3 linked regions of the Lytechinus pictus genome follow. The protein of the gene in region 2 purifies or fractionates together with the protein of the main gene of each other region. This does not show direct contact. Links are inferred from orthologs where the notes say so. Each region holds a gene or a part of one and is shown on either strand. Other genes may lie near its edges. The genes, in order: DNA-directed RNA polymerase III subunit RPC9-like, protein POLR1D-like and DNA-directed RNA polymerase III subunit RPC8-like.

Region 1 (5,209 bases), on a different chromosome or scaffold from region 2:
CGTCATGAAACCTAACACTAAAACCATGAAGGATATGGAAAAACATGTATAATAAGGCCTTCATGGTAGCCTACACTTATATGCCTATATGTAAAGGTCTATGAGTGTAGGTTCTCAGGGACTTTTTTTTAGAAGGGGCGTTGGGGTGTTGGGGGTCAATGGCATATGAGCCAAACAAATTTGAGGGTCCATAAATGGCATGTGGAGCAAAATAAATTTCTAAAAAAGCAGCAAGTGAGCAAAATTTTAGAACTTTTTTACACAAATATCTAATTTTGTGATGGATTTCGACATAATGCTAAAAAATATTATTATATTCCACCCCCTTTCCTTTTTTTTTTCTTGGCTGTGAAACTTGTGGGGGAGGTTCCATGGTCCCTTAAGCCCCCCCTCCTTACATCAGTTGGGTAGGGTAGTCCTTGAGACTGAAGTCTTATAAGTACAAGCTATATCTTTATTTTCACAAGAAGAATAGGTAATTCATAAGAACTATTTAATCAGTAATACGAGCGTGAAGCACGAGATGAAATTTTTAATAATAATAATATTAGGCATTTATATACGCCATCAATCTAGAAATAATCTATTCCGAGCCGCATTGTTTAATATTATTATTACCCCCACTTTATTTTAGCTCGAGCTGCCTTTCAGCGCTAATTGCATTCAAGAAATTAATCCTATATACCGGATACCCATTCACCTCACCTGGGTTGAGTGCAGCACAATGGGGAAAATTGTTTTGGAAAAATAGAAAACTAAACAAATTTTGATGGAAAATAAGAAAGAAAAACTGATGGTTATCATGCATTTTCATATCACTACCATCATGGGCGGAAATCCCAGAGGAGACAGGGGAAGCCCCCACCCCCCCCCCCCACTTTATGATATGTTTTATGCCGGAAAAATACTTCATTCAAAAACGAAATAATACATGTATCCTTGAATCTTTAATATAATATCATTTTCTGAATATTATGTCAAAATCTATAACAAAATTAGATTTTTGTTATAAAACTATTGAAATTTTTGCTCGCTCGCCTAGCTCTCTTGCAACTTTTATAAATTTTACCCAATATGTGCCATATCTAGCCCCCAAAAAGCACTCCTCTTGAAAAAAAACATATTATGATCATCGATCATCTTCAACTTCCTCCTTATCATCATAATCATACTTGCCATATAATCAGTATGATATTATTCTGTAAATTATCGCGGGATAATACAGACCACCCCTTTTATTATATACATATTTTTATTTGATAGCATTTATTCCATTCATCATAAAAACCAGAACAAAACAAGGTACATGCAAAGTTAACATATATTACAATTTATGTCAATGAAATAATTCAATGATACAAATCTGGAAAACATTTGAAAAAAAGAGTATATATAAATGAATGGGGAGGCAACTAGAAAGGCAAAGCCTTATTAGTGCTGCCACCTTTACAAAACTGGAAACTGAATATGTAATGTAATAAAAATGTTAATACTGAATACCAGATATAAACATTGAGCATAAAAAGGGGGAAATACAAATTTTGACACAATGACAAAATATATAGACATAGATGTATATCAACAATAATTACTATAAAAACGAAAGAAGAAAAAACACCTGAATATACGTTATTAGAATATTTGCTTAGAAGTTGGGTTTTATATCTCCTTTTAAAAACATTAAATGATGGACTAGGTTTAACAGAAAATTGTAATTATTCCAGATAATTGGTTCTTTGCTAAAGAAGTGCTTTTTTTAGTTAGGTGGAAGTCTGAAGATCCTTGCGTATTATAATAATGAACATCTATGACCCAGTAGCCACTGATCTGTATCTAGTCTATATAGTGTAAAGATTAGTGGATCAAACTGGAATTCTATGTAAAACTGAGGCAAATTTTCATGTCGGTCATAACTGAAAGATACCATACCGAAAACTTGAATAACAATGCACAAAAGAAAATGATTGGGACTACATAACAAGCTCGCTGTAGCCTTCCGAAGACGCGACCGAAAGACCGAAGAAGACAATGGAAGTGTAAGTATTTGTTAGGGAATATGATAACAAACATCTCATTTTGTTATGCTGTATGCACGAAAGGTGATTTTTATTCTACTTATTTAGTCAAATTTATTTGGCGTGTTTGGAAAAGCAGAGTCGGACGTCGGTGACGTGCATGTGTGACTGTGGCCATGGTGCCGTGGTTGTGTCTGTGAGTGAGTGTGAGTGAGTGAGTCTCACTTGCACTTGTCTTACCCCTTTCATAAACCCAATCATGCGGCTAATAGCAGCATAATTTGGTTGTAAAATCGGAGGAGGACCAGAGTTATCCGCTTCATTTTGATGCTGCAATTATCCGCATAATAGCGGCATCGGGACCAGATTTTGACTTTATGAACGCATGTCCAAAGTACAATTACATGACATACCGTTGGCGTTATAGATTATACGGATAATTGCCATGCCCATGGCATGATGGTGCGGTCACAACTCACAAGGTCACCCTTTTCCAACACAACTGCATCGGAGGGGGTGTGTGCGGTTGCCATGACGATTATCCCCCTTTTTCAGGACGGGCGCTCGTAAAAATAGTGCGGATTATTTTCGGAGTTTGTGAACGCAATTTTTATTGAATTATCCGCATTACTCTTAGCCTTAGGCTTAGGCGGCTAATTAGAGGATGGGTTTATGAATATGAAAGGGGTATCAGACTCAGATCAGTGAGTCTGACTGATGTGACGTTAACCCGGTCCCGGGGAGCTACGGCCCGCTTCACGGGCCGGAGCCCTGGGGGCCGTTTCATCAAGCTGTTCGGAAGTTAAGAGCGACTTTAAGAATGACTGGTGAACCTTTCTTACGCGCTTAACCATCACCAATGAATATACCATTTTCCACAAGAAAGGATCACCAGTCGTTCTTTTAAAGTCGCTCTTATTGTCTTAACTTAACTTATGAACAGCTTTATGGAACACAGTGACACACCCGGACTCGTCCATGTAATTAGCCAGGAGGCTCTAAGTCCTAGAGGAGTAGAGAGCTAAAATCATTTACTAACGTATGCTTACTCTCCAAGGAGCCAGGGATTCCATCCCATTCATCTGCGTGTACCGCCAAAAAACCTGAAACTTTCGCCCCCGAGATTTCTACTTTCCTTCCAAGCATGGGTACTCTCCAAAATAGGGTAGAATTAGCCTGGAGGCTTCTGGAGAGTAAAAGTCATCTACTATACGTAGGCTTACTCTCCATGAAGCCTTGGTCGGGATACCATTGCTCTACACATACCGTAGGTGTTCCCACGGTGAAATTAGACCTAAATCACACATTTTATTAGGGTTTTGAGCCCAAACTAACGTAAATGGGCCAAAACAATATTTACCCCTGAATATGATAACGTTGCGTCTATTTATTCAGTAAATAGTAGTAAATTAGAGAAATTATTAAGAGTACGAGCGTTTACTTACCCAGTCTGTTATTTTCGCCGTCTTTGTTATCGATACCTAGATACAAGACGCGTGTATAGAGGGCGACAATATCATGAGCAGTGCCAATTTAGATTTTAAAAAAATACTTGCATCGGCCGATAAATATCATGAATCGTTAAATACTTGCATTGGCCGATAAATATCATAAATCTTTTATGATATTTATCGGCCGATGCAAGTAAAAATAAAAATATATGTACATGTAGAATGAAGTTTTTGCTTCCTTGTATTTTAAAATGAAGGGTTCATTTTTCTTTTATTTACAGGATCAAAGAAAGTGCTGCTATGTTGAGCAACTTTGAGGTGAGTAATTTTAAGTTACCCTCAAGCTATGGTGTTGACTTTTGGTTTTGATAGCATAGTAAGAATGCTGTCACCAGTTGTGGTGGGGTGTAAAAATAAATCGGTCTGTATAAAGTAATATTTACACTGAAAATTGAGAAATACATGCTCAAACACACATTTTGAAAGAAGAATGATTATGTACTATGATTATTTTGATTAGAGTCACCAGAGAATTACATGGAAAAGGCACCTTTTTTATGCCAGAATATTTAGTCATGAAAGAGTGTATAAAATAAAGTGTCTGATGCTATATCAAATGCACAGATAAAATTGTTTTCAATTTTCTGACAAATTAGAATAATTTAGATTTTATTACTGTTGCTGGGGAGCTACTTGCATGTGATGTCACAAAATTAAACTTTAACCGATCTGTATTCTTATTCCTGAATGGATTTTTCCAAACCTTCATTAATACATTTCCCTAATTTTCTGCTTCTATCCAAATCAAATTGATATCAGGGTTAACTTTCCTTTAAATTTACCATTTCAAAGACAGAATACAGAATGTGATGCCCTTTGACCCCTATGCCTTGAACCAGAGTTTCCAACTATTAAGAAAAGTCATATTTTTTATGATTTTCATGTCAAATTACGCCATTACACTTTTGGCCTTAATTATTACGCTTCTGAGTTATAGTAGGTATGTACACATTTAATACACGCATAATAATACATCGTGCAGTGGTGATATTTACTTACCTGACTAGGCAAGCTAGTGCTTTACAAAAGTTATGTTGCACCCTAGATTAATATTCCTGACAACCGTCCTGTTGGGTTGGAAAAACATTGCATTTATGCACATTGTGCATCTGTTCTATATACCTCTAAGAAATTTATCATACTGTGTGGCACATATGAAATTATGACTTATCTCACAGTTATGTCTTTTGAGCTGCTGGAGTACTACTTGCAGCTCTGTTGAACTTTCCATCTTTCTTTGATCTTTCAGGTCCATGCTCTGCTTAAAGAATTACAATCGGGAAGCTCTCAGAGAGGGAAGAAGAGCATCAGTAAAAAGCAGCAGAACCTTGCCACAATATCCTATGAGGTATGTTATGTAACTATTCTAAAATCAGCCTGTTTGAGACTTATCCCAAGTACATGTAATCTTGGGATGTAGTCTATTGAGAATTTTCATTGCAGCAAGTGCATCTCTGATTCTAAATAGAAGAAAATTGAAGACAGCATTGCAAATAAAATAAGTTCCTCTGTGTTCCCCATTTTCATACCAAAAAAAAAAAATCCAAAGAATTTAATTAGTATAATTTGATCTTATTGAGCACATATTCGAGGCTGAATAAATTGATTGGATGTTGATTACTTTCTTTATATATTATTCGCATATGAGCAAAGTGAATGATAAAAAAAGAGCAGTAAGATCCG
Region 2 (5,209 bases):
GCTATATTCTTCCCAAAACATTTAAATGGGGTCTAAGGAACTGACTACTAGGTTTTAAACACGAGGTTTGAGGAACTGTGATCTATTGGGCAGAGAGAAACACATGGTTTAAGGAACTGCATAGGCCCTATTAATGAGTATATAAACCCTATTTACCACAATTACACATGTGCATAATTTCACAGACCTGTGTTGTGGATGCTCCAATTTTGTCGATCCCGATTCCTTATGTGGCTGAAATTCAGGCCAAGGATTGATAAGATAGATATTCGGCAAAAAAGTCTGACAAAATTTGAGCTGAAATTATTTTCCTAGCATCGCCAGATCGGCCGATGCGAAACTGTATTAACACTCTAAACCTGTCATTGACATTAGAACGTCCAAAATATACACTACGTCGGCCTAGAATCTTATTATACTAGCACAATTAGCTATGCATGAGCATCAATTCTCTCCGTATTTACCTGTACGTACATACCTCCTCACGACCGAGTCAAAGGTCAAGTCACTGTGTTAACATGTGGAAACTGCAAACGAGGGAATCTTCTGGTAAGAAAATTTTAAATTTTCACCTTTTCTTTTTGTTCTTTTTTAAGGCACTTACGTGCATTTAGAGTATAAAGGCTTACGAATTGGAAAAATTACATGTTTTCCCAACAATTATTGTGGCAAAGATAGATTTCCTAGGGAAATCCATCTTTGTTTTGATGTCTCCTCGCTGAGGACCGTATGGGCAGGGTGTCAAGGCTCCATGATGTAAGTATAGTCTAGATGTCAAATTATATTTTAAAAAAAAACCTCATCAAGGAGTCCTCAAGGCTACTAGGTCAAGAAGACTAGAGTAGAGCCAAATTCAAGATTTTGAGTGCTCATGACGAAAAACTTCCATTTGAGAACACTATACCCCAGTTTCCCTTCTCATCAATTCTCTTCTCCAAGTACGACAAACTCTAACTGCCCCAAGCAAGCAATTTAAGTATCAAAACACCTGTTTCTTGACGTCGGTCCGAAGATAACACAACAGCCCGGCATATACAGTCACAGCAGGGGGCCACACACGATGGGATGCATGCGCAGCGCTGAGCTCGGTTTCTGCAAAACATGCCGTCATTTTTATTCGCTTAGTCCGGCTTACTTTCCTTATTAAGAGGCTGATTTTCTTCGTTCGAAATTGAAAATGGACTAACATTGGATTACTGAATACAATATGCCTTTGAAAACGTGATTAAATATCGAATACAATAATTTCATTCCGAAGGTCCTACTACAGGCAGAGAAGCCTTACGTAATAGCACAGCTGTTGTTTATCTTTTGGTCCTTTGCTCAATGCTCATATACTGGCATGTGGAGGTGAAATTGAGACAGCGGGGATTACCCCTGGATTACCTGGCCAAGCGCGGTTGATAAGGGCTTGGAAATGATATTTGGGAGATCCACATGAAAAATGGGGTATAACACCGCAGTTTGCAATCTGAACTGCGGTCTTTCTCCAAACGGGGGTTTGACGTAATGTCTGGAGACTAACGTATAGACTAGTACTAGTAGAAAAGTCACTCATTCAATGAACAAGGTTATATGATATTAGTTACCTTGTTCTTAGACCAAAAGCTTCAGTCTCTGTATTTTGGTTGTTCCGCTGAACTACGTTGGCTCCACTCACCATACATAGACTGAAGGGGATGGGGCCCCGTACCTACAGCCAACGTATAGTGAACTAGCGTTTTATAGATCGCGATTTAAAACTGTTTTTTAAGCAAAATTGAAAGTTTCATGGTTTCCATTATCAGGGAAATATAAATAACTTAAGTAATTGCATACCTTGGGCCGGAGTTATTGAAAAAAATCCTCTGGATGATTGAGAAATCTGTCATCTAAGACATTTTCACCTGACCTGACGGTTTTTCTTGCAAGTTGCCATCTTGAATGACGTCATTATCGTTATTAACTTAATGTCTCGAATCGATATATCGCGATTATAACTAGTACTAGTACTAGTATCGTTTATCTTCGGTTTCGTTCGCATATGGAGCAGATCGTATAATATCGAAAGCAATATCGATATCACATTCGTGATTGTTGACGTTCGTTTGTAAATATTTTATAGTTTGGCTGCCATTTTGACCATTTTTATCGTGTTCAACCCAATTAAACATCGGTAAAGTATATTTTTCATGCCTTTTTCATCTATATCGTTTAAAGTATGTAAATATTGAAATATCAAGGTTCAAAAGTTTGTTGTTTATACATCCTTAGATTGTAAATTCGATGTGTAAAATTACATCAAACTTTGGACTGTGAATTGACAAAAGGGAGGGAATGAGAACACATGCGAGCCCACACGTACACCCTACCGTCGGTAAATGGGGATTACAGTAAAATGTCAGAAATTGTTGAATAAATCCCCAGAAACGACGGTTATTCCTGTCTACCTTGTTCTCTGTTACTACTCCATGTGTGGCAAAATAAGGTTGGCAATGTTTGGCTTATTTTCTCTTTTTCTTTGGGACAAATGCTTGATATTTTTACACTGTCAGTTTCCATTACACTTTACAGCTATTCATCATAAATATTATAACTTGGTCTTAAGTAAATTTGATTCTTTAAATTATTTTTTCTTAAAAATAGAGATTGAAAAATGACAATTATCTTGCCATATTAGTAATAGTATTACTTTCCACAAGAGGGCATACACAAAATTATGCCCAAAATTCAAGTTTTCAAGCGCTCTGGTGAATACCGTACACAAATTACGGTACCGGTACTCCCAAATTACTAATAAAAAATAAATTGCAACTGTATGGAAATTAGAATTTTTGGTCACAAAAGTGATATTTTAATGTCTGAACTTTTAAGTGTGTGCTGTGTACTGCATTGGGCATTGGCTTACCATAGATCTAGTACAACAAGTAACGTTAGATCTAACGTTAGATTCCACAGGCAGGGTGATTGCAGTGAACAAGTGGCAGGCTCTCAGACTCAGTCACGCGCCGCGCCGGCTCCGCCGGCGTGAGAGTCTGCCTGGGTTAGCACCACAGTAAATTAATGGTGTGGGACAAAGGTAAAACTAAAGACTCAAGTCAAACAAACGCTCTTTATTTTTCGCCGATTAAATTACAGACCCCCTCTTGTTCTCTTTTACAGTAACTCCCACATTTTTAAAGTACATTAAAGTACGAATGACATGTTCTTTTACCAAATGGAAATACACTGTCAGTCATCGCATAATCACGACAAGGACTTCTCAACTCTGCGCTGTTCGTTCGTGAAAGCAGACAAATAAGTGAACGCAGCTGACTATATAATTTCAAGCACGTCGCGTCATAAGTACAAGTACGGTACGGTATACAGTCCGCTTGAAACTTGTCAGCTACGTTCACATGGCCTACATGTAGCCTGTTCCAACATAAACTAATGCAGACCTTTTGGAGGGGGCGAAGATGCCGCCCGACCCCACTCCCCGATTGGAGGGGCAAAAAAAAAGTAAAAGAAGGGGGTAGGGAAGAAGGGGAGAAAAGGATGGGAAAAAAAGATAAGAGGAGCCAAAGTGAATGATTCTTTTTTTAATGAGATTCTGCTTTACTGACATGACTGAGGAAAAAAAACACCTCGGTATAACATGGCCGGGGGACTAAAGTATCCTGTTTCCAATCCTGCCCGCGGTTCGAGTTTTAATTATTTTTTTTCACCGAGATACCCACCATCATGAATTTAAAAAATGCTGAAAAAATGGAGCTTGCGCTACGCGCTCGCAGTCACATGCATACAATCTTGTTATAAAGTGCTTAACACGTTCCCTCTTGCGGTTCAGTATATAAATTTTAGCTCGCGCTTCATGGTTGTATTTGTTTGAGATACTAGTGCTCAGCTAGAGATTCATTTTATTTATTTTAACGCCAAGTTTACCTATTGGAAAATTACAAATTTTCAATTTTGGCTTCGCGCTCGCATCATTTATTTAGGAAGATACATTCTTTTCATGATTACAAAGAATATTTGTCCCGTTTTTAGGTTTTCGGCTTGCTCTTCGATCGCGCTCGGCAATTATGATTAATGTTTTTTTTTCATATATTGTTATAAAAAAAGTGCTTAACCTATTTTTTTAGGTCGAATTATCAAAATAATCCTGATAATGTTTACAAAAATTGTTCAAAATTGTCAAGTGTTTCAGGTCGAGATAAAAAAATCAGTTCGCGCTTCGCGTCACATTATATGGTTGGTGAGATTTGTTCCTCCGCATGAGTCACTGCAAATAGTTCAAAGTATGGCCCTTTTCGGGTTTGTGTATTAAGATTTCAGCTCGATCGCGGTTAGCCCTCACATTAATTGTTTATAGAGACATACCCATCTCGATCTTAAAAAAATTGCTTAGAATGTCAAAATTCTTCCAGTCGGAATATAAACAATTTAAAGTTGATGCTTCGCGCTCGCATTATTTGGGAGGTGAAATATGTATCCTTCACATGAGTCACTGCAAACAGTCCGAAAAGTGGCACTTTTCAGGTCAGTGTAAAAAAAAATTCAGCTCGCGCTTCGCGCTCGCATAAATTTTGTTTCTAGTTAGATACGTATCTTGATCATGAAAACAAGAAATGCTTAGAATGTTCAGATCTTAGATCTGACAATAATGTCTACATGAAATAGAGACAAAGTGGAATTAGACCAGCCATCTTTATTTTTTGCACCAACAGCTTCAACGTTTTCGCACTAGGACTTACCTTCCCTGTCTACGCTTCATGTTTTGCTTTGCTCTTCTAACCATTGTGGGACTGTGACGAAGAACATAATATGTCTCATGCTAAGCAGGTGCCTGCAAGTCACCAAGGATGTGTTATACACAAAAATTTCAGAAGCATTTACTCGGAAAATGGTTAGAATAGGGGATAGAATATCATTGAAAATTGCAGTGGGAAACCAACAAATAGCTCGGATAAAGTTCGCTCTCAAAAAACAATATCTCGGTCACCCATGACATAAACAATGTGTCATTTAAAGTCAGTGGCGTAACAGGCGGGGGGGCAGGGGGGGCAAGCTGCCCCCCTCCCAGGACCAAAATCCAATTGAAACCAGTTGGATTTCCAATTGGTTTCAATTGGTTTCAACTGGTTTCAATTGGTTTTAACTGGAATATAACAATTTCCAGTTGAAACCAATTGAAACCAGTTGGGCAACTGGAAATCCTAACTGGAACCAGTTGGGTAACTGGAAATGA
Region 3 (5,209 bases), on a different chromosome or scaffold from region 2:
GCCTTCACCTCTGGTGGGCGAGACAAAAATGGCAAATTTTTGTAATTTTTGTCTCGCCCACCAGAGGTGAAGGCGAGACTTAGGGATCCAAATGTCGTCCGTCGTCCGTCTGTCACAAACCTGTAATGACACATAACTCCACTACTGTAAGTCACTTTTCAACCAAACTTGGATGGTAGATGGACTTGGGGGACCTGCATCTTATGCTGCAGTCAGAGGTCACATGGTTAGGTCAAAGGTCATTTTGAGGTCAACGTTCAAGTTTACATGCAAGACTCTCTTATGACACCTAACTCCGCATCCGTGAGTTATTTTTCAACAAAACTTGGATGGTAGGTGTACTTAGGCGAGCTGCATGTTATGCTGCAGTTGGAGGTCACATGGTATGGTCAAAGGTCATTTTCAGGTCAACATTAAAGTTTACGTGCAAGGCTCTTATGACAAGTGTTATTCCATCCCAGTCATTTCACAATGAAGTTTGATATAATTCTCTTGCGTGCCCTCGCAAATTACGATATTTCTGGTTATTTTCATAAGTGGGCGAGACACAAAATTGCTTTTGCCTTGTTTAGGCTACAAAAAGATCTTTTTCTGTAAGCAATATCAAAATTCAAAACCAGCAACCACTAGTACACACTCATACATGTAAACACTAAAACTCCTTACATACAGTAGAATACAGAGCTTTATTCACACTTAAAACAAAAATCATATTGTAATGAGATACAATGGCATGTAAAAAGTTAAACCCCAAGAGAAATATTTGTTTATGTTTTAATATGATTATTCAATTTCCAGGAACATAATTTGAGTTTGTGTGCGTATGTGTGGACTTAGATCCTATGTGTGTTTGGGTATGTACATGTATGCAGTATGGATTTTATCTGTTTGTGTGTTTCTAGCTACTATGAGTTTTGTGATTCTAATTATTTCAGAACACTACTTTCATTTGTTGAGGTTAAAAACAACTAAAAAAAATACTAAAATTATTGAAAACAAGTGGAACGCCTCTGGCAGTCTCGCCTGCATTACGCAATTTAATATAGCAGCAGTGCTAACTTTGAAAACTACTATAAAATAATCATTCACAAAAACATCATTCATATAATGACATAATACCACGTTCATTGACCATAAATGACATTTGAACGGAGACTTAAGACTGTCAACTACATGTACACCCATGTCCACATTTCAATCACTCTATCCATAAACTTTCAAAGTTATGATGGCACTTCAACAATTACCCCAACATGGCCTAAGTTTATTGACCTTAACTGACCTTTGACTTGGTTTTGTGACCTGAAACTCACAGGGGATGTTCAGTGATGCTTGATTACTCTTATATCCCAAGTTTTATGAACTAGATCCATAAACTTCAGAGTTAGGATGGTAATTCAACAAATACCCCCAACACGGCAAAAGTTCATTGACCTTTAATGACCTTTGACCAAGGTCATGTGACCTGAAACTCGTACAGGATGTTCAGTGATACTTGATTACTCTTATGTCCAAGTTTTATGAACTAGATCCATAAACTTCCAGAGTTTGGATGGTAATTTAACATATACCCCAAACACGGCCAAAGTTCATTGACCTTAAATGACCATTGACCATGGTCATGTGACCTGAAACTCGCACAGGATATTCAGTGGTACTTGATTAACCTAATGTCCAAGTTTCATGAACTAAATCCATAAATTTTCAAAGTTATGATAGTAATTCAACAAATACCCCCAACTTGACCAAAGTTCATTGACCCTAAATGACCTTTGACTTTGGTCACGTGACCTGAAACTCGAGCAGGATGTTCACTTATACTTGATTAATCTTATGCCTAAGTTTCATGAACTAGGTCCATATACTTTCTAAGTTATGATGTGATTTCAAAAACTTAACCTTCGGTTCAGATTTTGAAAATTTTTTTCCCAACATGGTCTAAGTTCATTGACCCTAAATGACCTTTGACCTTGGTCATGTGACCTGAAACTCAGGCAGGATGTTCAGTAATACTTGATTAACCTTATGTCCAAGTTTCATGAACTAGGTTCATATACTTTCTAAGTTATGATGTCATTTCAAAAACTTAACCTTAGGTTAAGATTTGATGTTGACGCCGCCGCCGCCGTCGGAAAAGCGGCGCCTATAGTCTCGCTCTGCTATGCAGGCGAGACAAAAAAGAATTATAAATCATATTTCCTGTTTTTTCCATATTTACCGGACGCCCATCTTATTTACCGGACGGTATTTACCAGTATTTACCACCGGTAATTACCGCTACCGGTATTTACCGCCCAACCCTGGAAATATACCAGATTATGATGACTTAGACAGCTGCCATCCGTCTGTTTCGAGGAGTTTTTTAACATTTTTTTTTTTTAATTCTTCTCGTACACAGACGGCTCGCTAGCGTGCAGCCACCATTAGGGGACTTGCAATGCGAAATCCCCCCCGTCGGGGCTCTTCAATTTTTGTCTTTAATGAATAAAAATTTTGAAAATTAACGCGACCAAAATGCAAATTAATATTCCCTCTTGGCATTAATTGCCCAAAAACGGAGAAAAATCAAGGTAAAAGGAACAAAAACAGTGACTTACCTCGGCTGTCGCGCAAATTCACTTCCCCGTTTTATCCGATCTTAAGTACATAAACATATGGCCATTGAGTCCCCTGTACAGATCGCGCTAGAACTTCGGTCTCTGTATTTGGTGAGTGGAGCCAACGTAGTTCAGCGGAACAACCAAAATACAGAGACTGAAGCTTTTGGTCTAATGATGACTATGCTTGACTATGACTGAGATGATAATAATAAAAAAACAAATACACAAATCACTACGTATGGGACACAGCATTAAACTTCTGCATGTTACGTTTCGAATCACCAAAATTTACCTCGATTTAACAAAGAAATAAATGAATATTTTCTAATCTTGCATACTCCATGGTACTTTCATTCTTTTAATTGATGAAATAAACTTAAATGCAAAAAGAACTTACATACAACGGCGCCGAGGAGAAGATTTCTTTGGACCCTAAATCGAGAAAAGTGAATGCAAATCGTGTAACTTGTAAGCTCGACTATGGCACGCCCATAGGGAAACAATTATATATATATTTCACTTGAAAAAAATATGTTTCTCTTCTACTAAACCATTTCACTCAAAGAAATTTATATTTCACTTTTCAAAAAAATATATTTCACTTTTCAAAAAAATATATATTTCACTTTTCAAAAAAATATATTTCACTTTTCAAAAAAAATATATTTCACTTTTCAAAAAAATATATTTCACTTTTCAAAAAAATATATTTCACTTTTCAAAAAAATATATTTCACTTTTCAAAAAATAATATATTTCACTTTTCCAAAAAAAATATGTTTCACTTTTGAAAAGAATCATTTCACTTGTTACATTTTAATTTTGAGAGAAAACAAATCCTTTCACTTTTGTTGGATAACACATGCGGCTGCCGTATTAGACCGTACGTAAAATTCATCTATCTATCTACCTACATGATATATCTATCTATCTCTCTGCCTAATATATATCTATCTGTTTAAATCTATCTATCTATCCATCTATCTGTCTGTCTATTTATCTATCTATCTTTCGAACTATTTATTTTTCTATCTATCTGTCTAACAATTATCTGTTTAAATATGTCTGTCTATCTATCTATCTGTCTGTCTCTATATCTATCTATCTAATATCTATTTATTTATTTTAATATGTCTATATCTGTTTATTTATCATTCAATCTATCTATCTATCTAATGATTTATCCGGCTGTTTAAATGTCTGTATATCTGTCTTAATTTCTATCTATCTGCCTATTTATCTTTATCTATCTATCTATCTATCTATCTATCTATCTATCTATCTATCTATCTATTTTAAGTCTATCTGTTCAAAATATGTATGTCTATCTGTATGTCTACCTTTTATCTTTCAATCTAATATCTATTGATCTGTGCAAATAATCATGTCTGTTTATTTGTCTGTTTATCTATTTAATATCTATCTATTAAATCTGTTAAATATGTTATTCTATCTGTCTATCTATCAATAAATATATCAATCTATTTTCTCTCTATCTATATATCTATCCATCTGTTTATCTATCTGCGTATGTATCTATGTATCTATCTGTCTCTGAATCTATGTGTATATCAAATATAATATCATAATCACCGTTATCATCATCATCATATTTGCCATCAATCATCAGCATCATCCTCCTCATCGTATTTTTTATCATCAATCAATATCTATCTAATGTCTATCTGTCTATCTATCTAATACCTATTTATCTGTTTATATCTATCTATATATTAATCCCTTTTATTAATATATATCTATCTTCTATTGATCAATCCACCTATCATTTATCTCTCCATCCATCGATCTATCTATCTATTTATCTATCTTTCTTATACGTATCTGTTTAAATATGTATGTCTATCTGTCTGTCTATTTATCTTTCATACTTATATCCACTCATTTGTATGAATAATTATGTCTGTTTATCTACGACCGACCACCTAATTCGTCCGCACGACGAATTAAAATCTAGTTTCTTTTTCACTTGTTACATTTTAAATCTGAGAGAAAACAAATCCTTTCACTTTTGTTGGATAACACATACGACGGCGGCTGCCGTATTAGACTGTACGTAAAATTCATTCCTCACGTGAAAATCCATTCCTCTCGCTACGTAAAACATTTCACTCTTGTTGCAAAATTCATTTCACTCAATTGCAAAAAAATACGTTCCTCTTTTTTTTCGGCCTGTAGGCGGCGCACATCATTGTTGGCAGGACGAGGTAACAGAGATGGTTGCAAAATTTTCGCTGTGCTGAGGGGAGAAATCATGAATCCGGTTGCAACACACAAAATGACAAGGATATGGGGATACCAGCGAACCCAATTACGACACTTTCCCACGCGTGCCCGAGAATACACCACGAGGTGGGCCCATGAACACAAAACATAAAGTTTGATTTTATTACTGATTATGCACAATAGCCAGTGCAATATCAGCTGTTGCATTCTGCCCTACGATCAATCACTAACGTTTTGTAGGCATGATATGAAGCATGGATAGCTCCACGCATGGCACTACACTATCTCTGGAGCTAAATGGACAAGGTGTTGAAATTTCCCTTTTCTCCATTCCGTCTGTCTTTTACTTCATTGACATACGATAA

Evidence for each region.
Region 1: the proteins of protein POLR1D-like (region 2) and DNA-directed RNA polymerase III subunit RPC9-like purify together in Homo sapiens (affinity purification with mass spectrometry; 5 studies listed by BioGRID and IntAct, with this or other methods). This does not show direct contact. The link is inferred for Lytechinus pictus from reciprocal best matches to the Homo sapiens genes POLR1D and CRCP.
Region 3: the proteins of protein POLR1D-like (region 2) and DNA-directed RNA polymerase III subunit RPC8-like purify together in Homo sapiens (affinity purification with mass spectrometry; 6 studies listed by BioGRID and IntAct, with this or other methods). This does not show direct contact. The link is inferred for Lytechinus pictus from reciprocal best matches to the Homo sapiens genes POLR1D and POLR3H.

The regions. Positions count from the first base shown.
Region 1 is NC_087246.1:31,253,654-31,258,862, forward strand, and holds the start of DNA-directed RNA polymerase III subunit RPC9-like, read left to right. Parts: upstream 1-1,930; 5' UTR 1,931-2,028; coding exon 2,029-2,036; intron 2,037-3,747; coding exon 3,748-3,784; intron 3,785-4,775; coding exon 4,776-4,874; intron 4,875-5,209. UniProt on the Homo sapiens protein: DNA-dependent RNA polymerase catalyzes the transcription of DNA into RNA using the four ribonucleoside triphosphates as substrates.
Region 2 is NC_087249.1:40,694,706-40,699,914, reverse strand, and holds the start of protein POLR1D-like, read right to left. Parts: upstream 3,316-5,209; 5' UTR 3,194-3,315; intron 1-3,193.
Region 3 is NC_087254.1:6,939,241-6,944,449, forward strand, and holds the start of DNA-directed RNA polymerase III subunit RPC8-like, read right to left. Parts: upstream 3,088-5,209; 5' UTR 2,998-3,087; intron 1-2,997.